Linked DNA regions of Drosophila melanogaster. The protein of the gene in region 2 purifies or fractionates together with the protein of the main gene of each other region. This does not show direct contact. Each region holds a gene or a part of one and is shown on either strand. Other genes may lie near its edges. The genes, in order: mim and Cortactin.

Region 1 (12,030 bases), on a different chromosome or scaffold from region 2:
TCAAATACGCATATTTTCCGCCCTATTTACTGCCGTTCTCTTTGCGGCTCTGTATCTGCGGTTTCTCCGAGATTTGTGTATTGAAACAAACGGAAGCTGCTTTGGTTGAAATGGGCAGGAAGTTGGAGGGCACCAGCCAGGGAATACTCATTTTCGTTTGCTTCACAGCAGAAGGTCAGACCATAATATTAATGTGTTTAATATCAAATCATAAAGAAACGAAAGATGGATGTATCTGTGGACATTTTGCCCAAAAATGACATAGCCACTATTTAGATAGGCTAAAAACAATAGCACTAAATAAATTAAATAAAAGTTACCAATTTTTTAAATTCATTAAGATTTATCATTGGCTTCCTTCATAAATATCTGGATGTAAGTATGGTAAACTTATAAAAAATTACATTTTATCGCTGTTTTATTGTCTTGGCCGCATCTGTACCCTGTCTGTATACCATTTATGTTGCATGTTGTCTGGATTTCTATTGCAAGAAGTGACTTGACTGACGGAAAGCAGAGAGGGGCAACTGTGGCACACACTTTTGTCAAGGGCGACAGACAGACAGAGTTGCTGCCGTTAATTGCTTACCAAAGATGTGAGCACACGCACCGCCATTTCTGTCCCATTTGAATTTCCCCCTTGCATACTGCGTTCTTAGGCGTAAATGCAGATGAGCAGCATTAGGGTGGACCAACAACGTGTTGCAGCAATAACATTGGAGACTAAACCAGAACTTGGGAGTCCCCTGACGCTGTTCCGCTGTTCAGCGCATAATGACACATTAATTCACTTTGAAACCACTTCCTCGGCTATTCTAAAAATAATTACTGATAGCTTATGCGTAAAGATTGCATAAACAATGAACCATACGAACGATTGTACTTTCTCGAGTTTTTCCAAGCTGAGCTGAAAGTTTCTCTAACACTCTAAGGAAATATCTCTCAGAATGGTCCATGTTGAATATGATAAATAATCAAGCAAAGAATCAAGGCCTGAAAATAGATCCAAAACTTACAATTCCCAGCCCACCACTTTAATGCACTGCCGGATACTTTCCTATCCACTCTGCCTATAAAGTTCTGTTTTTCTTGTGCCCCATAAGTTCTGGTTGGGATTTGGTAAAACAAATAATTTTACAGCTGCCTTTGGAGATTTGTATACTAGGAAAAGTGAAGTGCGGGTGTCGGCGAAAATCTCCAATGTCAGGCTGGCTTTTAGCGGATTTATGTGTTGTTTTATAAGTTGTAAGGTAAGCGATACATTGTGGCCGGCAAATTGTGCTGCAGCATCACCAGCGGACGGCCCGTCATGACTTTACACTTTCACCAACAACTACTACGGGTGGTATCAACAACTTGACACCAACAACTGCGGCCATCTGTGGTCAGCCAAGTGTCGAGATGCCTCGGCCTGATCTTAGTCTGGGGGCTTGGAGTTTGGGGTCTCTCGTCTTGAGTAGGGGGTCTGGTTCCTCTATTCCGGGGTTAGGAAAGCGCCGATCATCGAATGAAATGTGTCGAGTGGTCGCGCGATGAAAAGAAAAGCGAAAAGAACGCATAAAACGATGATAATCAAAAGATCAAGTTTTATATGAACAGAATCGACAACGTCACCAGCAGAAACTCAGAAACACACATCTGCTCAAACATTGATGTTTATCTATGGGTTTCTATCTTTAGCGTCATCTGTGCTTTGCACTGCATTTTCTATTTGATGTTTCTGGGATTTGTGTTTGTGAGGGCATCTGCTTTAGCTCTCTCTCCCCCCGAATGCCAACCCCCCCCCCCCCCTTCGACAACACCCACTGACGCGTATGGCACGTCATTAACCCAAATTTTCTATGAATAAAATATAGCGAAAAGGAAAACACTCAGTGTTTATGTTTGCAAGCATGCCTTGAGAAATCTCTGTCTATTTCACTCCAAAGGCTACTTTGATTCGAATCTAATTGAATAATTCGCGGGCTGCGCATTTAACACGCTGTAAAATAGGCCAATTCATCGATAATTGAAGCTGATAGGCATCCCACCTTCTTGATAGGCTCACCATCTAATCAGTAGCACTGTAAACACGCGTTTGTTTTGGCCACGAATGTGGAAATCGATGAGTATCGATCGGAAGTTATCAAGCGGCTGAAGCTGACCGAAGAAAATTAAATTCAGGAGAATGTGGAGCACAAAACTCATTTCGCAATGCAAACGCCCACAAATGTGTAAACACAACGGCCCGCCCGAAATAAACTTTCGGCATTTAGCGGCGTTTAATCGATTTGTGCATAAAATTATATGTTTACACATGGCAAGGCAGCCGAAACGAAAATAAAGTCGAGATACACAACATGACCCATTGGCGAAACATGGCGGTGGGTTGTTTCTTTTCCAGCGCATTTCCACTCGAAATTCAGCGGATTAGTCATTTTAATAAAAAACACAACCACGTCTTAGGTGTAGCCTACTTTATAGATTTTCTACATAATTTAATTCAATCGAGAAGATATTCAAGCAATTAAACACACTTCTCTATTTGATTTTCTTGTTATAAGTTTCATTTAAAGTGTGCAGGCACCTAATGTGTCAGCTATTTTATTATTTTAAATAAAAATTAAAATAGGAAGAGCTTATTAGTATATTTCTTCACACTGAGGTAAACCGATTCACTGTTCTCGACTTCATCTCAACTCATTAGAGAGCGGAAATTCTCGACAACTCAATGTTAAGGTGGGTAAATTTGCTTTTACTAATTTTAACAAAGGCCCGAGAACATTGTCTATTATTAACACCACAACCACTCCCGCTCTCCTGCCGGTTTTCTGGGCGTTTTGGCCATGGCCAATGGTTATTAATGATTAACCGGAGTGCCGTTAGCCGGCACATGTTACTCCGTACTTTGTCATGTTTGTTATGTTCTTGTTTGCTGGTTCCATCAGCACGTTTTGTTTCTGCCTTCCTCATGACAGCTTTGTGGCCATCAGCAATGGGGATTTCTCTGCCTTTCTCCGGCCTTTCCAGTCTCGTTAGCGTGAAAAGCTTTGCCCAGCTTTTGTTTTTCTTGCATAAGAAAATGCCAGTTGCTCAGGCATCTTGGTTTTGCTAATTTCCCAGCCCCGCCATAACTCGCGGAAAAGAAACGAGAATTGAAGGAAATACGTTTTAGTGTCGCTTCTCACTTCTCGCAGAACCCTGAACCCTTGACATTTTCACCCAGGGCGGCGATAAAGTTTTATACTTTTTAATGAGCTCCACGTTCTCTGCCAGCGCAATTCAGCCGCACGCAGCCCACCCCAAGTGAAAACCGCTTGAGGCGAAGGCGAATCTCGGGTTGGATTAGACACGATTTTCATTAGGACGAACCCCGAAAATCGAAAGTGGTTACGAAAGATTCCACTCGAGTGGGCGATCCAGCAGTCTAGAGTCGCGGACTCATTCGAACTCAGATTCATTCAAACAACAAGGAACGCCCATGCAGTTCACCAATCAAACGAAAACGAAAATCTTTTTGTGAGTGGGCAGCGAGAAACTCGAATTGCAGCAGCGCAGCGACATGCTAAACAAATGCAGACATTCAGGCTAAGTGACTTAAAAGTTTTACAAGTTTTCAGCCGTTTTTTCTTGTTTACCAATTGAAAACAGTTGCCGCATTATAATGTAAAGAGGACGTAACAGCGGTTCCGAAAGGCGAGTATTAAAGATATATGAATAATGTACCAATTATTTTACATTTAGTGGGAAAAACTATTAGCGCCTTTAGAACTGAAGTGATCCAGCTAAAATACTGAATGGGGGTTTTGTGTTTACAGTAGGCTAAAGAACATTCAAAATATTACGAGTATTAATTTTTCGAAAACCATCAATGAGAAAACATATTTGCACAACAAACAGTTAACGTTTTTCCTTTGTTTTGGCCTTGCTCTCGTGCTTGTGAAAGAATGTTGTTGTTTCTATGCAACGGAGGTGGAGGTGGGGGTTGGTCAGTTGGAGCGGCCTTTCTCCATAGGACACAATATTTTTTTATATTCACTGGTATTTGTTTTTCTGCTTTTGTGAATTTCTGTTTGCATTTTGTTAAGGCGCAAGTGCCTGGTTTCTGTTTATATAAGCGTAGTAAGATCACCGAAAAAAGTTGCTCGTTTTCAAATTATAATATTTCACTTATTTTTATATTTTTATCATTTTAGTAAGAAGGAACATTAATTTCCTTCTCTTAGTATATCAAAATGTATGATTTTCCAATTTAGGTAAAACATTTAGGTTTCCTCCAAACGATCACGTTCGAAATACAGGTTTTTTCTCTCGGTGCAGGAGCAAGTTTCTTGCCAATGGCCGACAGCTGTTTGTGGCTAATTTTATCTTTCTTTCTGAGACCCTCTGTTGTTTTGGATTCTCTCGTTTTTGGCAATTGCACAGGTGCGGCAGTTGGATGGTTTGCGGATTGGGTTACTCCACGCGAATCAGATAGCCCAAGGCATCCTTTCGAATTTGAGTACTACTTTGTGTCTAAGCAGCGTATAGTATATACGATATAGCGACTTGGCGAATGCACCGGCCGACATTTCAGGCCAAACGGTCTCCGTTGCTGGAAAGTTCTGCATCATTTGTTTAGACAAATGCGCGAGAAAACATTCCCGGGACGTAAACAAACCCCGGCAATAATATTTTAATAATTACGCTTATCTGCTCCATTTGACGGCGCGCACAAAAGTCGTTTGAAAGGTATGCAAAGAGAACGAGACGTGCGATAAGGGAGCCGGGAATGGGAACTCAACTTTCGAGCATTTAGTCCGCACCATGGGTGTCAACGTGCCGCTCCGGTTCCTGTTGCGATTACGGGTTGAAAGGAACACAAAGCCGCCACCTCGCGAAAAAACGACCCATTCGGAGTCGGACAAAAAATTAGCTTGTTCAGATAAACCGAGTTCAGGTAACACAGTCCAAAGAGAAGTCCCTGCACTTGCGCAATTACCGCGCAACTTCAAAAGGGGAGTTGTGCACAGAGAAAACTTTATGGCAGTCGAAAAATCGGAAAATCTGACTTCGCACAAATTTTGTGGACCGAAAACACTTCACAGCACTTCATTGGCACAATTTGTCAAAAATCACTAAATGTATATTGTTTGACTTCAAGAGGTTTAATAATTCACTAATTTATCTTACAAAAAGAATTAGTTACATGAAATTGGTTGTTGATTTTGTTATAGAAATTATTATTATTATTATGTTGCTGGCCATCAAAGATATGTTTTCTTCAAAACAAAATTACAAATATATAAAACCTAAACATTTTTTATGAAACTCCTTTTTTTTAACGTGTATAACAAATCCTGTTTGGATTGGCCGTGAACGGAGTTTTCGGTTCTCACGACCGCCTGGAATGGTCACTGGAAGTCCTTGGACCTGGAATCGGTCCAAACTTGTTGTTGGTGAACTGCAGCTTCCATTCCCTCCCCTTACTCCATCCCCCTAGCCAACGCTCTTCGCCCCTCTCCCAACCCCAGTAATTGGCATTATTAGCCCACACTCGATTCTTTTTGTTGTTCTTGAAGGATACTTACGGTGCACTTCCGACTGTAAAATATCGCAGGGCGACTTTATGCAGCTTGCTTGATTTTTCGGCCGACGATGTTGCAGACAATTAGGCGATGATGTTGATGCTTGCACTTCTGCGGTCACGGTGTTGTTGTTGTTCTAGCATTGCATTTCCAGGCGGCAAAAGCGCACACAAAGGATAGAAGCGGTTGTGAGTGCGAGCGGGGTGTATTCTCCCGTTATTCCCCTCTATTTCCTCTCTCTCCTTCTTACGCCCAGTTTCGTGTGCTTTGCTTTTGCATTTGCTTTTCTTTGCTTTGTTCAAACTCAAACAAACTACCCCAGAACCGTTGATCCTGACTGCCTTGTTGTTGCTGCTGCTGCTGTTGTTGTTGTTGTTTTGTTTTCTGTTATGTTATACACTCACAGACACACGTACACACACGCACACAGTGGGCTGGCAGACAGACGCTTAATTTTCCGTTTTCCTCGGGAAATCGCAAACAATTATTCGCTTATTTTTGCACCGAATCTGACACTTATATGCTCGCACTTCGAACTGCACTTCCAATTGGTTCGCGCATTCCTTTTCCGGTTAGAAAACAGTTAGAAGTTTGCCGCTGCAACCGCTATTTTCGCCAAGTCTACGACTGACTTTCCGAGCGCATTTTCGTTTTCCTCCGGTGCGAAAGGGCTTTCCTATAGACAAACAAAAAACCGTAAAACAACCGCGACCGATTCGTTCGAGAGTCGAGTGTCTGGGTCAGTGTGACCATCGCTCGAAGCTGGGAAAATACACCTCTGTAGTGTGACCACGTCTAGGAAAAATCACTTGGCAGCGAGGTCACATTCGCTGTTAACCGTTCTGCGAATCGGGAATGTTACCTATCATGCAAACTTTTAAAATTGAAAATATGGTTATTTTTGGCGCGTTCGATGTTCCAGTTGACATAAAAGTCAATTGAATAAAAAACCAAAAATTTTGTTATAAAAATTTGAAGAGAATAACTCATGTTTTAGAGTAGAGTTCCTAGGAAACGGAAGTGCCGAAGACATTAACTAAGCACTCGGGCTAAATGAGTGTTAATTTGGAAAACCATGAATTCTATAGATTGAAAACAAATTATATAAATTTAACGTCGTTTACTTTAAATAATGGCCTCTGCATTTGCTGCAAATTCACCTTTTATGCATAGAATTCTTTTTAAGAGTCCTATTTTCCGATGGTATGAAAGTGTTCGATATAACAACTAAATTATTTATTTGTTCACGTTGTTGAGCTTGGTGCAAAAGATTATAAAAGTCATCGTCAGCATTATCACACAAGTCCACAGCTTAGGAAAATCAACGAAAAAGGTGCATATACAAATATAAAAACAACTTAAACGCTTTGTAAAGCAAACAATACAAAATATGCGATGCTCCAGCAGAGCCTCCTTTAAAGCTTGTCCACCCGTTCCACACTGAGTTTGATGTCCGACTTGGGCATCAAGAGCAGTCTCCGGTTGTCGTACTCCACGGGAATCGAGGTCTCCGCAGAGGGAGCGTATCTGTGCTGCCTCAGCAGAGCCACCAGGCCCACCAGAAGCTGCTGCTCTGCAAAGCGAGCGGCAATGCATCCTCGCAGGCCATCGCCGAAAGGCAGGAACGCAGCTGCCGGGCGGGATCGCCTTGCCTGTTCCTCAAAGCGCTCCGGGTAGAACCGCTGGGGGTTTTCATAAATGCCAGGATCCATGTGTATCGCCGCCGTTGGTATCAGCACATTGTTGCCTTTGGCAATTACAAACACCGATCCGGGCACTTCGAATTCTTTGGTAGCCCGGCGTAGCAGGAAGGGATGTGGAGTGTGCAGGCGAAGCGTTTCTAAAAAAAAGGTGAAGTCATTGGAGCTATAAAGAGCTTTTCAATATTTGGTACTCACCATTGAGGACTTGCTTCGTATACCTGAGCTCCCTTAGGCACTCCGGTGTCACTTGGCCACCATGCTCCTCCAGTGCCTTGTTAATCTCGAGCCTGGTTCGATCTTGCACCTCAGGCTGGCGGGCCAACTCGTAGAGGCAGAATGCTAGGGTGGCATTCAGGGGGCCCAAGCCAGCCAGAACGAAGCCGAAGGCTTGGCCCGCAATCTCGATGTCGGTGAGCGGCTTTTCTGCGTTGGAATATAGCTGCAGAAAGGTCTGGAGTGGCTGGCGATCCCTTCTTCGATGCAACTGCAACTGCGACAGGGCCACTTTTTGGAAGTAAGCTGTAGCAGGTTCTGCGTAGCTTTTGTACTGAAGAAGGCGAGCGATGAGCGGAAACTCAAGCGCCAGATAAGCCTGCCACATCCTAAAGTCCGCCCAGTAGTTGCGCGTCCACTTAGCGAACTCCACGTTATCCTGCCCTACTAGTCCAAAGGCCATTGACGCCATAACGTCCGTATTGTATGCACCCACGAGTTCGCTTATATTGATAGTTTGAAGGCTCTTTTCGCCCAGGTCCCTTTGAATTCTGGAGGAGATTTGCGACAGTCTGACCAGCAGCTTCTGCATGTTGGCCGGAGTGAAAACCTCTGCAGATTTGGCGTGCAGTGACCGCCACTTGTGACCGTCCAGCTGAAGGAGATTATGCGACAGCGGCTCTCCACTGGGATTACTATAAAGGCCTCGGGACGTAAAGTGTCCCGCGTCGGTGAAGATTATTTGGTGGACTAGCTTCAGGTCCAGCGCCAAGATGAACGGCTTGAGGCAGGCGTAGAATCCCACAAACGGCGCCCTGCCCTTGTATGCGGTGTAGATATCCTGCAAGGCGTCCTGGGCATGCCTCTTCCCGCTCACCACGCCCTTAATGTTGCCCCACAGGAACTTGGGCTTTTCGTGCAGGATCCCCCGCCGTTTCCAGTAGCCCAGACTGAACTTGACCAGGGCGTAGACCACTGACAGCGCACCCAGGGCGGTGAGCAGGGTGCGGTGCATTAGATCCATGCTCACTCAGCTGTCTTTTCCGGCTTTTACAATATGTTCGCGCTGTTTGATATGCTTAACAGCTGGCAGTAGCTGCTTGTCGAGGTTCTGGGGCTCAATGCCGCCGGTTTATCAGCGCCATTATCGTGCGGTCCGATTTAATAATTGATAAGGTCCATTGAGTATCGGCCGCTAAAATGGAAGAGAAACGTGGCTATAAGGCAACTTTCAGTAAGTAATAGTAATCAAGAGCTGAGCGGGATTTATTGCTAAAATAGGTACGGAGAGTTGCGACTACGGCTGCAAGATGAGGCAGAGGTTGTACGTGCTGCCGGCGAACTCGTCAACGGGCACCCAACGAACGTAGCCCAGATCGATTAAGTGCTGCCGGGAGCTGGGCACGCCTACGAAATGCGGATCCTAAAAAGGGAAGCGAGCGATTAGTTCACCAGTTCATAAAATGAGCTAATTCGCTGACTCACCACCACCTGCAGGAAGATGCGACCGCGTGCACTGCAATGGTAGCCGGTAATAGCCTTGGAGGCGGTGTCACTCAGACCGCCCATGGCGACGAAGCCTTGGTACTTCTCAAAATAGCTCCGAAGCTCGCCGAGGATCTCGTCCGAGCTAAGCTCCTTGGCGTGAAGAATCTTGCACGGCACCTGGTGCAGCACATCGATCACGTAGAACTCCTCGAGCGTTCCGATCCAGTCGCGCGAGCCCACGAACTCTGGACCCTTGTCGCCGATGGCCACCAGGATCTGCTGAATCTCCCGGATGGAAGGAACATGACCGCTCGACCCCTGTCGACGTTGGATCCAGGAAATGGCCGATTGCAGGGTGCGGTAGCCACAACCCCAGCCAGCATCCTGGTGGCCATCGCATCCGTAGTGGAAGTAGTTAAAGCCACCGCGGGTAACTAGCGTCCGCCCGCCTTCAGTGGGCGTGGTCAGCGCGCCTTGCGGATCCTCTAGAAGTGGATATGCATAGTCCTTTGGTACAATTTTCAAGGACGCCGCGGAGGAGTCCCCAAACTCTTCTGCACACTTTTCCGCCGCCATAGGAATTGTTTTCGAAACTGAGTAATTTGATAGCCTAGGCCTGATTCACCTGCTCCTTTTCTTTTTTGTTTATTTACCTTGGGCAGCCGTAATTTGTTTTGTGAAAGTGAAATCGCAGCAAAGAAATTGGAATGTTTTTTTTTTTGCTCTGGCTAGAGATGGTACAAGCTGAATCGTCATGCACCAATGACAAAGTCAGCCAAAATAAAATAACAATAATGCGGAAAATAAAATTAACGAATATAAGAATGAGTCATGATGAAAGGCTATTCCGCCCAAAATTTTGATAAAATTTATATTTTTATATTAAGCAATGTTGTCATAATTGTTTTACTACAATTATCCATCACCAACTCTCTCATCGAATTATCGATAACAGCCCGTTTGTAGCGCCTAAATTTAAACGCATCTATTTGGTTTTCTCTTATTTCTCATGCATTTCAAATTTTATTTGAATTATTAAATGTACATTATTGTGTTTAGAGTTCATAAATATGTTTTCGCATTTATGTGTGTGGGTGTCTCAACGCTTTATATATTAACACCATTCCCCTTGAATTGTGTTCGTTTAATTTTTAGTTTTTGGTGACCAAACATTAGTACATCGTTTTTAATAATTGGTAAAATTTGTAGCACTCCATAAACTACGATTTGTAAAATTGAAATATTTGCATTATTGGTTTTCAACTATTTTCGGATTGCTGATTGTTACTGAGTTGCAGTTTTGTTAATGTTTTAAAGTTAGCTTAAAAATGCATTTTGGATAACTTCGCCGAGTTTTACAATAAATATATGGGATGCCGTTTGCAATATGTGTCTGTGCACCAATTAAAATACCTTAATTACGTCGTGCGTCTAAATGTTTTGTTATCTTCTCGTTTTTGGTTTGTGCCAGCAACGGTTTAAAAGAGGTCGATTGAAAATTATAAGTACAATCATAAAATACATTTATTAAATATATTTAGCGATATCACCACGATTTGTTGTTATTGTGCTCTTAAAAATCATGTAACAGAAAAGATTAATATGCTAAATTATTAATATTATTATATTTATACGTATATGTTATGTATGTATGCTATAAATATTCATACGATTTGTGACTCCTTACTACATCGGATTCTCTTCATAAATGCAGTCAAAATACGCTTGCGTCTAAAAAATACTTTCTGCTCCTCTCGTGTTCGCGTGTTCCAGTGTGCTTAACTGATTAACTGCTTAACTTGTGAATCTGCACTTTCTTCTTACCAAACTACAGTCAAGTCTACATCTGAATCGTTGCTTTGGGGTGAAAACTACTATTTTCTCCGGTTCTGAGTGTGTCTGTGTGGCTAAGGGTGGGCTGATTTTTTTTAAAACATGCTCTAATAGTGGCAAACATTTATCTTTGGCTATTTGGAATCGTGCAACGTCAGTGAATCTCAAGAGAGTGGATTTAATTACAATTTAACAAAATTGTTATTAAGTAGTAAAGTGGAGTTTAGCACATTAGCGCAACGTATTAATCTTTGTATCGTTACGAATAAGTATTGGCGTTTCTCTTGGTAAGACCACACAGATAACTTCCAAAGATAACTGCTTACCCCTAAAGTATTTATGTTATGTTCAATCGTGCAAATCGACCCATCCCACTGTGAGGCATCCTGCGGTGCTGGGATAAATGCAATGACAGTCCCCGTTTTCTTACAAGGTGCAGTATTCGGTGAGAATGGGTATAGACTTCAGCAGCTCGTTGATGTTATGCTGTTCCAGATGCGCCACCAGCTGCTCGGAAGATTTGAGCAAGTTCACGCAGTTCTGCAGGTTCTCGACAATCTCCTTGGTCATCGTGTCCGACGACTTGCTGATGAGCTCGGCCAACTTCTTGCCGACCTCGCACTTGACCAGCTCGTCCTGCAGCAGCTGGGCCTGCGCCGCCTCGCTGGGCTGCGACAGGTACACCACGGACAGGATGCACAGGGCAATCAGCGCCTCGTTCTGCATGACCAGGTGCTGAGCTGTGAGCATGCTGACCATGGCCTCCACGGTGCCCTCGTTGGCAAGGAACTCGCTCAAGCTACTGCGATCGTAGTCTTGCGTTAGCGGAATCTTGTCGGCAATCTGTTCGGCGGGTGCATCGCCCTTGCGCGGCAGTGCGTATGCGATTTTGCTGAGGTAGGCGTGCTTGATCAGCCAGGCCATGAGGCGCAGAGACTCGCCGGTGACGCCCGCATAGTCCGACGATTTGCTCCAGTGCACCAGCTGCTCGATCAGAGTCTTGTTCTTCAGCAACTCCAGTGCGAGTTTCTCTGGAAAAGCAGATGTTGTTAGAGATGCGGATCGCGTGCGGTTGTTGCCACTACTCACCCTGTCCGTCGACGGTCATGCGAAGTGTGCCCAGCAGCTTGAAGACGACTGGTGGCTGGTGTATTTCGAGCATGGGAAGAATGGTCTGCACCAGGCCCGCCTGGATTACCGCGTTCTTGTTTGGCTTCGGGATGACCAGGTTGCGCAGCGCGGAGAGA
Region 2 (12,210 bases):
ATTTGGGTACCCTTTTAGTTATTTCAACGGTCATGGCACGCGTTCTACATTTGATCAATTTCGATTTACCCAGTTCAATTGGCTTCGATTTGGTTTTGCCTTGGCTTATGTTGCATTGAAATTTTGCATATTATGCGCAATTCTTTGGGAATTTTGAAAAATTTCAATCAAAAGTTTCAAAAAGTAATTTCAATTGGTTTGTATCAATGCCAAAAAATCCATTTCCTCACAGAAATAAAACACATTTTTGTGGTCGTTGCATGTGTGCGTGTTTAAAGTGGGTTCGTGTTTAAATTTGTTTTTGTGTTTGTCAATTGAAATAGTTGGTGGATTTTGTTGTAGTTTTTGTTTTGTACAATTGTTTGGCACATTTCAATTAACCACAAATGAATGGGAAACGGAAAACATCAATCAATCCAGTCGTGTTGTAGACACACCGAGTATAAGAGTAGGGTGTATGGTGTATAAGATAGTGAGAGGGACAGTGGTGAAACACACAGACACATACAGAGAGAGTGCAGGGTTTCCAAGTACATATAATAAAAGAAATATGTTGTGATACAAAATTATTCGAAAATTACCCACATTTATTTGGATTTCTAGTTATTTTAGTGGTATTAGGGTGATAAATGAGCCACGCCCAATGTGCTTTATGTCCATTACGAAAAATATACTTAAAATAATCTAATATATTTTAATACTTAAGCAAATATAACATTTAGTTACTAATTGTTTCCTTATTTCGTTCTAATTCCTTGTACAATCCTTGTGCAATCAAATTCCAATCGTAAAATGGCTTATATTCGCACTTATGGTCAAATACCAATTACCAATAAATTGAAAGACTTCTCGAGTAATACTTAGTGATAACTGCAACTTTATTTAACATGCTAAGCGCCAAAGCTTTATGAGTACATAATACCCATAGCTCGATAAAGCAATCATAGAAGACTTACCACAGTCAAGCTTATAATCTATAGGACCCCATCGTTGATGGGTAAATGCTTTTTATGTACAATCGTAGTTCCCCTAAAGACATGCCTTACAAATGCTAAGGGTTGCGTAGAGCCCTACTAGGTACGTGTTAGTAGTGTTAAGCGTGTGATTTAGTGTTAATATCACAAGGGTGTGTGGGGGAGTGTGGCCTGATTGAGTCACCGGGATGATTCAGTTAGGCACTTTCTCCGAGACGGTATCAAGACCTTTCACCGTGTTAGTAGCTGAATCGCCTACAACTAAGGTTACATCACTGTGAAAAATCGAAAGAAGAGAGCACAGCAAAATACGGGTTGAGGGTTTAGTTTTAGTTCAGAGATGATAACCAAATGTAGATTAGTAAATAGAAAGTAAGTACAGATGAGATAAGATTAGAATCATTAGGAAGTTAGGCCGATTTGGTTGAAAGCAGAGCGGGAAAAAACTTAATCACAAGCAATGGGTTAGCAGAGAATGCTTTTAAGGAAGAAGATGCAAATCGAGAGAGTTTGTGCATTCGAGTGTGTTCTGGATGGTTATATGGTTGAATGGTTGGAATCAAAAATCGGGAACATACCTGGCGTACGTCGAGTTGGCGTTCTTTATCGAAAAGCTGTTCTGGCTTGGCAACACAAAACGCTGCACCCACTGTAAACAGAGAATACCTTGAGTACCAGTTGATGAAGTAGGCATAAGCCCTCAAAGCCCCCAAGAACCATATGTGGTCAGTCACGTAATTTGATAAAGTCAGTCCGTTCAGTGCGGTATCTGTGATGCTTTAAAATGTGTCAAAAAGTTCGCCTAATTTGTGATTCTCTAAGCCCATTTGATAAGTGACCCAACTAGTTGCGGCCAAGTACTTACCCGGCTGTTCATCAAACGCTGATTGCCCATGCAGGCAGCCATGTGTATCACAAGGTAGAGGTTGAACAGTATATACAAAATGGCAAAAATACCTGCAATTGGCAAAAGGAAAAATACATTAGATTCGGTTTAAATTGTGGCAATTGACTACTCACAGACTAGTGCCAGCAAGCCGCCTTTAATTTCCATATTCTCTACTTGCACCACCACAAAGTACAAATTAACGCCAATCACTACAATGGTGAGCAGTATGGATACGATTTTGTTGCCCCTGTGAATACAAAAATTTAAAGAATGCACGATAATCAATTAAAAGTGTCTGTATCACTTACAGTCCATTAACAAACTCGCCCATTATGGCGGCGCACGAGGTGAAGGCGATGGTGGGTATGGCAGCGAATGGCAGCTGGAGCGACATCACCGCATTCAGGATATCGTTCATGCTAGTCAAATCTTCCATCTTGCTGAACATGGCCAGGCAGAAGGTGGGAATAATGGCAATGCAGCGCGTGACCAGCACGCGACACCAGCGCGGCCACTGCAGATTCAAGAAGCCTTCCATTGAGAACTGACCGGCATAGGTGCCCGTCATGGTGGAACTCTGGCCAGCAGCTAGAATGCCCACACCCCAAATGTACATGGCGACAGCTCCAAATGTGCAGCCAAGGAAAAGTCCGCCCTTGTATAGATCTGCATCGATGATCGCGGTTCCATTTACATTGTCCACAAAAGACATTTTGGCATCTTCGTACATCGACTTGTCTTTACACACTTCAACCTATTGGCCCACAAAGAGTTAGCAATCATTTTACACATAAATTCAAAAGTCTACTTACCACATCATTATTAGTTTTGCCATACATGCCATGGGCAAACACAGCCACCACAAACAGGTTAATGATGAAGGACACAAACAAGGCTACCGACGCCTCGATGAAGAAGTAAAAATTCGCCTCACTAACTTTCTTTGTCTGGCGACGGTCTATATCGCGGGACTGTTAACAGAAAATTGTTATGTATTGGTATCTAATTACGAAGTCACAAAAAGCTAGTTGTGCTATACCTTAACCAAGGCGGAATGCAGGTAGAGATTGTGCGGCATAATAACAGCACCCACGACACCCACGGCCTGCAGCAACACATTCGAATTGCAGTTAGAGCACCAGGGCACAAACATTCCCTCGAGAACTTCTCCTTGATTAGGGGCTGATACAATGTACTGAAAGATATGAAAAATAAATTAATTATGACTTAAAACCATTTAAAAAATGATTATGGGGAGAAAACAAATTGTTCCTAGCTTATATTGAGATTTGGTTAGAAATAACAAAATACTTGTTACTCGTAGAAAAATCCCCTCGAGGCACCCCCACTTTTTTCCATTGTAATTATCTCCAAAAACCACCATCGGTAATTGTACAATTCTGCATTGTATAATCTAATTGATAAGACTGGCATTACACATCCCATCTGGAATTGTTAGTCATGTCCGGCAGCATCATGTGCCTGGCAAACAAAAGATGAAGTATCCAGCACCCACGCTCAGAACCCCATTTAGTGTGCGAGTGAAGCTTATCTAATCATCTCCGTCTGGGGCAGAAAGCTCAAGTACAATTGTTTATAATCTGGCCCGTTAACATGATGCGGTCGTAAACTTAAGAGTAAGAATATGGGGCTAGTTAACGGGCTAACTTCATCCAGAAATCGACAAGTCAAATGTAAATTTACTACTAGCGATCATTAAAATAAACCTAAACAGGCATCTCACAAATTATTTGCCATTGCGGTCGTTGCAATTGTTTAAACAATTCGTATTTGCACTCACGTCTGGTAATTTATTCTCTTGACTACTTTATTGTCATTTGGCAAGGGGATTTTTTGCTGATTTTGGCGATTACTTTTTATAGTTAAGTTATTTTTTTCAACTTTGCATTTTAAACTTACCTCATAGCCGAATGAGACAGCCATAATGGTGATGAGGGTGCCGAATAGGAACTCCAGCTTGCGTAGACCGTACTTGTCCAGAAACAGGAACGTGAACGTGTCAACAATGGTGATCAACACTCCGCCCCACAAAGGCACTCTACAAAATGGGGAAAGCACCGCATGCATGAGTACTGGGTACTGCGATAATCCGCTCATTAGATTTGCTTACACTTTGTTGGACAGCAGGTATATGGCAATGGCCGTGCCAATGACCTCCTGCATGTCGGATCCAATAATGGCTATCTCTATCATTATCCACAGTATCCAACGTGGCAGACGCTTGTACTGTCTGTAGCACATCTCGGCCAGATGCAGGCCTGTAACCACGCCCAGTCTGCCAGGAAGATAATAAACGCTTATATCATCATCTTTTTTGCAAGGTGTGGAGACCCAATTACCTTGCAGCCAAGCGTTGCATGAGCAGACCTAGGACTGTGGCCCACAGCAAGACCCACAAGATCTTGTACTTGGCCGCCGCACCAGACTGCATATCGGATTCGATGTTGCCGGGGTCCAGATACGCAATGGACATAAGAAAACCGGGTCCCGTGAAGGCCCACAGCTTGCGAAAGCTGAAACCCACCTGCAGATCACCAGATATTAGATAAAGTTTGAGTAGCATTGCTATTCAAGCGGGTCTTACGTTTGTGCTATCATCGTCGGGTATGAGGACCTTCTCGTCGCTAAAGTAGGCCTGCTTGGCGGCGGGTTTCAGGTAGGTCGTCTCGTTGAGTATCTGCTGGTGGTGCAGCTGGTTGCTCCGCTGACTTCCTCCGCCGGATGCGCCAGACGATCCGCCCGGTCCATCTCCACCGGCACCCGGCTCGTGGTAGGCCTCATTCGAAGACATGCTGCACAGAAGAGGCGAGGTTAGACTGGACCTAATTCGAGTTTCCACATGCTGCTATATTCCCGTCCACTGCCCATTGTCGACTACTCTAATTTGTATTTTCTATTTGATTGTTTCACCTGGCATCAGCTTATGATTCCCACCATTTTCATTTAATTGAGCATCTGTGTGTGATTCTAGCTCAATTAGCATTATCATATTGCACACAACAAACAAAATAATTTTGCGCTATAATTAAGTTTTTTGCACCATATAGTTTTATTTGGGGATTTCACCATAATCAAGAGCAAAGTCACAGTAACACGTTTTATTTTTTCCGAAACGCGCGTGGCAAAATATGAAAACAATAAATAGTTCGAGAGGCATTAGCTCGGGGGTAACTGATAACGCGTCCATAATATTACTGAAATTTGCTTATATTATGCGGGTATATAAGGAAATAAAACGAGCTCAGTGATTCATGAAGTCCAGTAATTGAAATGCCTCTGCCCAATTTACCCAGAGAACTTGCAGATATTTCGCATTTGCAGTCGTATAGATATGGATGGTCGAAAACAAGACTACTTGAACATAAACACGAGTCCATTGACCCGTGTATCGATGTGAAATTTTGGACTGTTTATTTGGTAAAAGCGATTACAAGTGCATTTCGTATACAAGATGCCTGAGCAGTCTTGGCTGCTCTTCAACGCAATACATTGAATGTAGAGCCAAGTGGCTCACCTTGACAAACGCGACTGCCCCACTGATGCTACATATCTGCTATAAGGCTTTCCACATCGCTTCATTGATGATTGAATCGGAGCAAGCAAAGACAAAGAGCTCGAGAGCATCGTGCAATGTCTACTTCACATTATATGTGGCACTTGGACGGGTACATTTGGCATATACTATAAGTAACCGAGTTGGCCATATCAAGCCGCCATTAATGGAGCTTAAATCGCGCTGCAGTGGCTCGAAGGAAATGTGTAACAACGAAATGTCGGAGGAGGGTGTTTAGTTCATTGGAACACTTTTGTGTTATATTGTGTGGCGCAGACTGCTCTGTTTACCCAGTTGTATGGCAATACCCACGCCCCCAAAAGCGGAATTCTAGCCGATAAGTGTATAATCAGCCACATATTTATGTACGTGTTCCTTTGCCACTTTAGTGCCCAGTTGGACGCTGTAAATTATGACAATTGGTAATCAAAAAAAAAAAAAACGAACCATTTCCATTAAGAGTCCAAATTAAGTGGCACCAAAAAATATCATGAGTTTATTTAGAGAAAATATATATTTTAAACTGCGTACCATTTTGCGCAGTCAGCGGGCAAAAGCAATTTATATTGTATATTGAAGCAGGCGAAACAAAACACTTGACAACAAAAAATTGACAAATGCAGATAACAGTAATTTGAAAATAGAAGAGCAATACTTATCAGCCCACATTGTTAAGTCGCTTGTTAAAAAAAAAAAAACTAAAACAGTAATTATACGATTTCCGCTGCCTAAAATAGTTATTTCTATGACAGTTCTCGCTGGCAATAAAAGTAGTGAATTGTGTCTGGAAAACTATCCATTGTTAGGGGATTTTAAAGTGCGAATAGCTTGTCAACAATTGTTTTCTGTTTACGGTTATTTACGGTTAAGAATTATACATTACTCTCTTTGCCGGTTAGAGGGAGAGCGGACGGAGAGAGGGTGCACCACGTTGTTTTTGTTATTAGCGCACACCTGCGTGCGCACTCACACACACACACGAAATATTGATGGAGATGTAAATTATTGGGCAACTCAGGTTAAACAGCACTTCCTACCAGTTAATGGCTTACTTGCAACTGGGGGTTAACTAATTGGAGCCCTCGCCTTTATTATATCACAATCTCGGCACTTGTGGCAGCTTATAAATGCATTTTCCTGCTTTTCTCGCGGAGCAATTTACGAAATTTACGAATTCCGTGACGTTGTACGGCCGAAACAAGAGTGGTGATGGTCGCAGTAAACGAAGCAGAGAAATGACGAAGAAGCGGACGGTTTGGCTGCCAATTGCTGACTTAGTTAACGACAATTGACGAGCGTGCAGGCAATTTGTGCTCAGCCGTGAGCGCAGCTCTTTGTTTATTAATTTTCCTCACAATATTTGAGATTCTGCCACCAGCTGCTTTCTTTTGCACGCACACTCACTCGCCTCTCACATGCACACTGTCTTTTCGTCTGTGCCCAATGTGGCAACCTGCGGCCACTCTCTCTTCTTTGACTTGCCGAAATCTGGCAACACTCGACAAGAGTACTAACCTTATCGGCCAAACTGAAGTTTTAACTCTGAGCCCACGCGATCGAGTGACTGACTATAGCATTTTGCGGTAGCCCCTATTTATTCAAAATATCTCTCTCTCGCGTCGGCAAGTGAGAAAAAGAAAGACAGAAAGAGAGAGAGAGAGAGTGTGTGCGTGGGAGAAAGACCACTGCTTTTTTTTGAGGGGAGATTTTTTGATAAGGCCTGAGATTTGGATTTTTGAAGGCCCCAGAAATACCGCCTAAGATTTGAACATGCATTTGAAATACCGGTTTGTACATCGACCGCAGGTTACCGTTAGAAATGTTATGCGGGATACATAGTTAAGTTGCATACCCTTTGAGTTACAATCACTAGTTAATAATATCTACGTTATTACCAACACGCACACTTTATCGTAATACCTCCTTGAAGTTTAATTTATACATCAACTTTATCAGTCAAAACTTTGATTTCGTCTGACACTTTTTTCGATTACGATCCGTCGCCAATAATTGCGATAAATCTTATCAAGTCTTTTTGGGATTGGCGCTCAAATTTACAATATGGCCGTACATCCTACTTATGTATGTTTTTTAACTAATTAATCACCACAATGCAAAGTACTCTTTCTTTGTTGAGCCCATATGCACTCACATTTGCACCATGAATCATGTCAGTAGCTCGTTTCATGTAACAATTTCTACTTTGCCAGATTACGATGCGTTCGGAACAGGCAGATAAGAATTCGGCCCATCCAAGAAAGGCCTTGACAGTTCTACCCCAAAATAGAGATATCCTCGTGATATTAGAAGGAACCCAACAATATGCTCGTTCTTATCTTCTTATAGAAATTTGTGAATTCCCGTATCCAATGAAATCATTTTACTTAGTAAAATGATTTGTTAGGCCTTAAAAAAAAACAAAAACACCCGAACTATCAGTACCACAATTTAAGAGAGAACTCGTTATTATTTAACTTTATTAATTATGTATTTCTTTATCAAAAGAGCAGACTTTTTGTTTGTGACTGTCTTCAACATTAGATCCGTCTTTAACATTAGATCAGATCACCTGACACGGGAAACTCTCGTAGACTTTATACAATTCAAAAAAACCAAAATCGTTACTTGACACAAATATCATAACTAATGCATAAAATATGAAATGAGAGATATCTAAAATAGCTTGGCATATTTTCTTGGTAAAATAAATGTGTTAAATACAAAGAATGTAAAATGCAATAAATGATACATATATCAAAAATGGAATACCACGGTTACTTTAAGTGCTAGCATAACAAATTACAATAATAATTCAATATCTAGCCATTCGTTGCACATAATTTGGAGGGTTAAGAGGGTAAACAATGGATGGGAAATGGGCTGGGTTAGTTGCGAATTGGTTTATATGGTTTATAATCCAACATCAGTATTATCGTTTTCGTTAGTATGTAAATACAATTTGATTTTGTTCTATCGTGAATTTCAATTGGAAGCTTTTATGAGTTCTGTCCCACCACCTGCACGTAGTTGGCTGGAAAGAGTCCGTAGCGGTTCTTGCACAATCCCCTCCACCACCCATCGTCGATCTTCTCGATGTGGGTGATCACGTCATCTGGATCAAAGGATATCTCGTCGTCATCCGCCGCCTGGTAGTCGTACAGGGCAATGGCGTGGATTCCGGTGTCCTCCAGATAGTCGGCCAAATTGTCTGAGTTCGCGTAGATTGCCTCCTCGGGAACGGTTGCGGTGCCACTCGGAGCAACAGCCTCTGAAACGGTTCCATTCGTTGGTGGCAAGGGCGAGGCAGCCTTAATCTCGGCCTGGTTCTGGTACAGTGGCTCTTCTTCAACTACTGGCTCAGGATCGGCTTGAGGTTGCGGCTCAGGTTGGACTTGGACTTGGGCGTGGACTTCGGGTTGAGGCGTCGGCACATACACTGGTGATTGCGGCTCACTTCTGGGAGGCGTGTCCACGGTCTCAACCTCAATTTGGGGCACCACATCTGGTGGTGGAGCTGCAGCCTTGGCCACTGGAGCTGTTTCCGGCTCTCGAGCGGGGACCACTGTCGGAGTAGGAGCAACCGCAGCTGATGTTGTACTTGCCGTTGGCTCCTCCTTTGCTTCTAATTCTATTTTAACAGGCTGCGCCTTGGGAATGATAATGGGTTCCTTTCGTGCTGGAGGGGTTTCAGAAACAGGCGACTGCATCTGGTTAAATGCACTGATAGCATTGCCAATGCCACCGGTCCGACCTGTCTGGATGGCCGCCCTGCTGCCCTTTGGAGGCGGTGCTTCCGTCGAGGTACGAGGAGTGTTCTCGGCCACAGTCTTCTTGGCGGCTTCCTCCCGATCCCGCTTGTCCTTGGCCTCACGGAGACGTTTCTGTTCCTCGGCCCGCTTACGTGACTCCTCCTCGGAGTTTTTAGCCAGATTCTCGAACTTGGCACGCAAATTGGAAGGCTTGGCACCTTCGATGACTGGCTTGACCTTGTGGTCCACCTGGCTGGCGTGCTTCTGCGGAGCCTCTTTGTGGTCCCATCCCACCGCGGACTTGTCCTTTCGGTCCTCCTGAACGCCAAACTTGCCGCCAAAGCCCTTGGAGTAATCTTATGTTGGGAGAAGATATAAATAAAATAATCAGACATGAACATACTAAGAAAAAATCAATGAGAAATTCATTTCCGTTAGGTAACTTACCCTTCTGAGACTCGTGCTTCTCCACCTTCTCGATGTGATCCCAGCCCACGGCGGATTTATCCACCCGATCGGACTGCACTCCAAATTTGCCTCCGAAGCCGGTGGCGTAATCCTTCTGGGAGGCGTGCTTCTCGACCTTTTCGACGTGGTCCCAGCCCACGGCAGACTTGTCCTTGCGATCCTCTTGCACTCCGAACTTTCCCCCAAAACCATCGCTGTAGTCCTTCTGCGAGGCGTGCTTTCCCACCTTGCCCTGGTAGTCATGACCCACAGCCGACTTGTCCATGCGGTCCTTCTCAACGCCAAACTTGCCCCCGTATCCGTATCCTGCGTTCTGATCCTTCAGCAGCTGCTTCTTCTTGTCCAGATCGGCCTGCTCCGTCTCCTCGCGCAGCTTGTCCATGCTAAAAAGAATAAAGAAAGGGAACAATGAACCCGATACCCAGTGTTTCGAGAATTTCGGATGACTCACTCGATGGTGCCTGCTGTGCGACCGCTGCCGTCGATCGTCTTTGATCCCCAGCGCTGCTCCTGCTCACTGACATCGTTCACGAAGTCCGGATCCGTCTCCCAGTCGTCGTCCTCCGCGGAGGCTGCACTGGTGGCCTGAATCTGGTGACCGGCACTTGCCTTCCACATTCTTTTTACCGGTTTCTGGTCGCTGGTTACTCGCTTATCCTTATCTGCTGGGTAGATAGATAAACACCATGACGAGTGTGAGTAGTCGGGGCAGGTTTTCAGTTGCAGGGGCTCCGCTTCCGATTCGTGGCCCAGATAACAAGTCACAAAACACCGAAGAAGGGAGGGGCCGACAAAGCCGGATCGGGAACAAGATGCCACTGGCGCTCTATGTTCATATGTATACTCACATCCCGATGACTAACTCCTACTGCAAGAGGAACTTATGATCTGATGCCGCTAGGGATGTCTGCAAATTTCTGGGAGGAGAAGGGTTAAACAATTGATTCATAAAGAGACCAACAAACGGGAAACTAACTGAACTAAATTTCATTCGATACAATGGATGCATCGATATGCTACGAAAAGCCGATAAATTATTGTGATGAGCTTGACAAAAGGTAGTTGCTGCAGTTTTAGGGGCGCCCAATTTAAATGATTAAGAGATACAGTCGTGGTTCTTTTACTTTATTCGATAAGTCAATGCACCGATATATACTGCAGTACCAATATATGTGATCGTGATCAATAGAACTGAGTGCTCGGGCAAAAGGTATTTGATGTTATACCAAGTGGCGCCATAGTAATTTGTATAATTAATAAGATTCTGCCAGAACGGTAATTAACAGGTATAAGAGTTGACTTTTTTCATATAACCGCAAACATATCATCGATATATCGATAGTTTTGGATTTGAATTTGCTTCGATGTCGGCTGACAATTAACGTAATTGGTTTTTATATATAGTTATAAAAATACAAATAAAAATAGTTATAAAACGGCTTAGGAAGGAACAGGATATTTATTTAACTGTATTGCCCTAACGGCTGAATATTGAAGTCAAAGGTTACATTTTGAAATTCAATGCGTAATCAGATCTTATTTTCCCAATGTCGTCATTATCACAACGGAAATATCATGAATGTCTCAACAGCTTCCAATGCCGATGATTCATCCATCTCGGAACACTTTAGATTCTACGGTGTATACTATGACGACGCAGAAGATACCAGCTTCCAGTTAGGCGCTACCACCGAATATTTCCTAGCAACAACAACCTATCGCCGGTTGGTTCATCTCTAATCGACTTCCAGCGAGAGAGCGCGAGTATAAAAGCCAAAGACGGAGCGCAAACAGCTATGGTATTTATTCACATCGCTTGCAGTTCGCATCGTCTGACTTGTACGTTGAAAATCGAATATCATTGGTAAATCAAAAGGAATTTGTAGATAAAACTCATTGTTTACTCTCGCTGTGCCAGAAATCGCAAAAAATCAAGCGGAAAATCAGTCGGAAAAGTGAGAAAAGAAAGTGTGTGCTAAACACTCAAAGATAATTTTCATTTGTGCCATTCCAAAATGGGCATTTTGTAGAATTCTAGTTGTGGGTGCGGTATCGCGAGAATTCTCCAGAATCTTGTTTCTCTATTTACTTTATATTTCAATAATAAAAGCCTCGGGTGGGAGAAAAATTCAAAACCGAAAGATGACATCATCAAACTCAAAAGCAAAAGCCCCACTCTTTTGGCGTTTTCTCTCGCGACGCGTGTGACTTTTCTCATCTCCGACGAAATCTAAGTAAACTTTTCTGTTCCTTTCTTGCTTTCCCATTTTACGTAGGAATGAGAAGCGGAATTTTTCGAAATATCTCTATCCCCCAGTGCCCTGCTTAATTTAGTAATTCAATCAACTTCAATTGCCCGACAGGCACTTCAAACTACAGTAAGCACTGTGTATGAGCGCCTGTGCCTTGCTCAGCATTACTCACCGGAATCGGATGTGGCCACATTCCACCGTCCACAAAATATAGTAGTAGTGTACTCGAGGCCGTGCAATTATAGTAGAATAGGTGTGTCATCAAGGTTTATTACTAAGTGAATTGCTCAGTGCATTTGCAAAA

Evidence for each region.
Region 1: the proteins of Cortactin (region 2) and mim purify together in Drosophila melanogaster (affinity purification with western blotting, with the first as the bait; one study listed by BioGRID). This does not show direct contact.

The regions. Positions count from the first base shown.
Region 1 is NT_033778.4:6,965,344-6,977,373, forward strand, and holds the start of mim (missing-in-metastasis), read right to left. Parts: upstream 6,295-12,030; 5' UTR 5,550-6,294; intron 1-5,549. Other genes in the region: Cyp6u1 (cytochrome P450 6u1), read right to left, coding at 6,962-7,386, 7,445-8,486; Ufsp1 (UFM1 specific peptidase 1), read right to left, coding at 8,760-8,885, 8,948-9,526; vimar (visceral mesodermal armadillo-repeats), read right to left, coding at 11,210-11,814, 11,873-12,030.
Region 2 is NT_033777.3:21,053,793-21,066,002, forward strand, and holds Cortactin (cortactin), read right to left. Parts: upstream 10,680-12,210; 5' UTR 10,631-10,679; exon of another isoform or gene 10,572-10,630; 5' UTR 10,503-10,571; intron 10,320-10,502; exon of another isoform or gene 10,317-10,319; 5' UTR 10,273-10,316; coding exon 10,106-10,272; intron 10,038-10,105; coding exon 9,634-10,037; intron 9,543-9,633; coding exon 8,434-9,542; 3' UTR 7,888-8,433; downstream 1-7,887. Other genes in the region: Mvl (malvolio), read right to left, coding at 1,553-1,623, 1,840-1,931, 1,995-2,110, 2,172-2,617, 2,676-2,834, 2,903-3,058, 3,784-3,922, 3,995-4,159 and 2 more.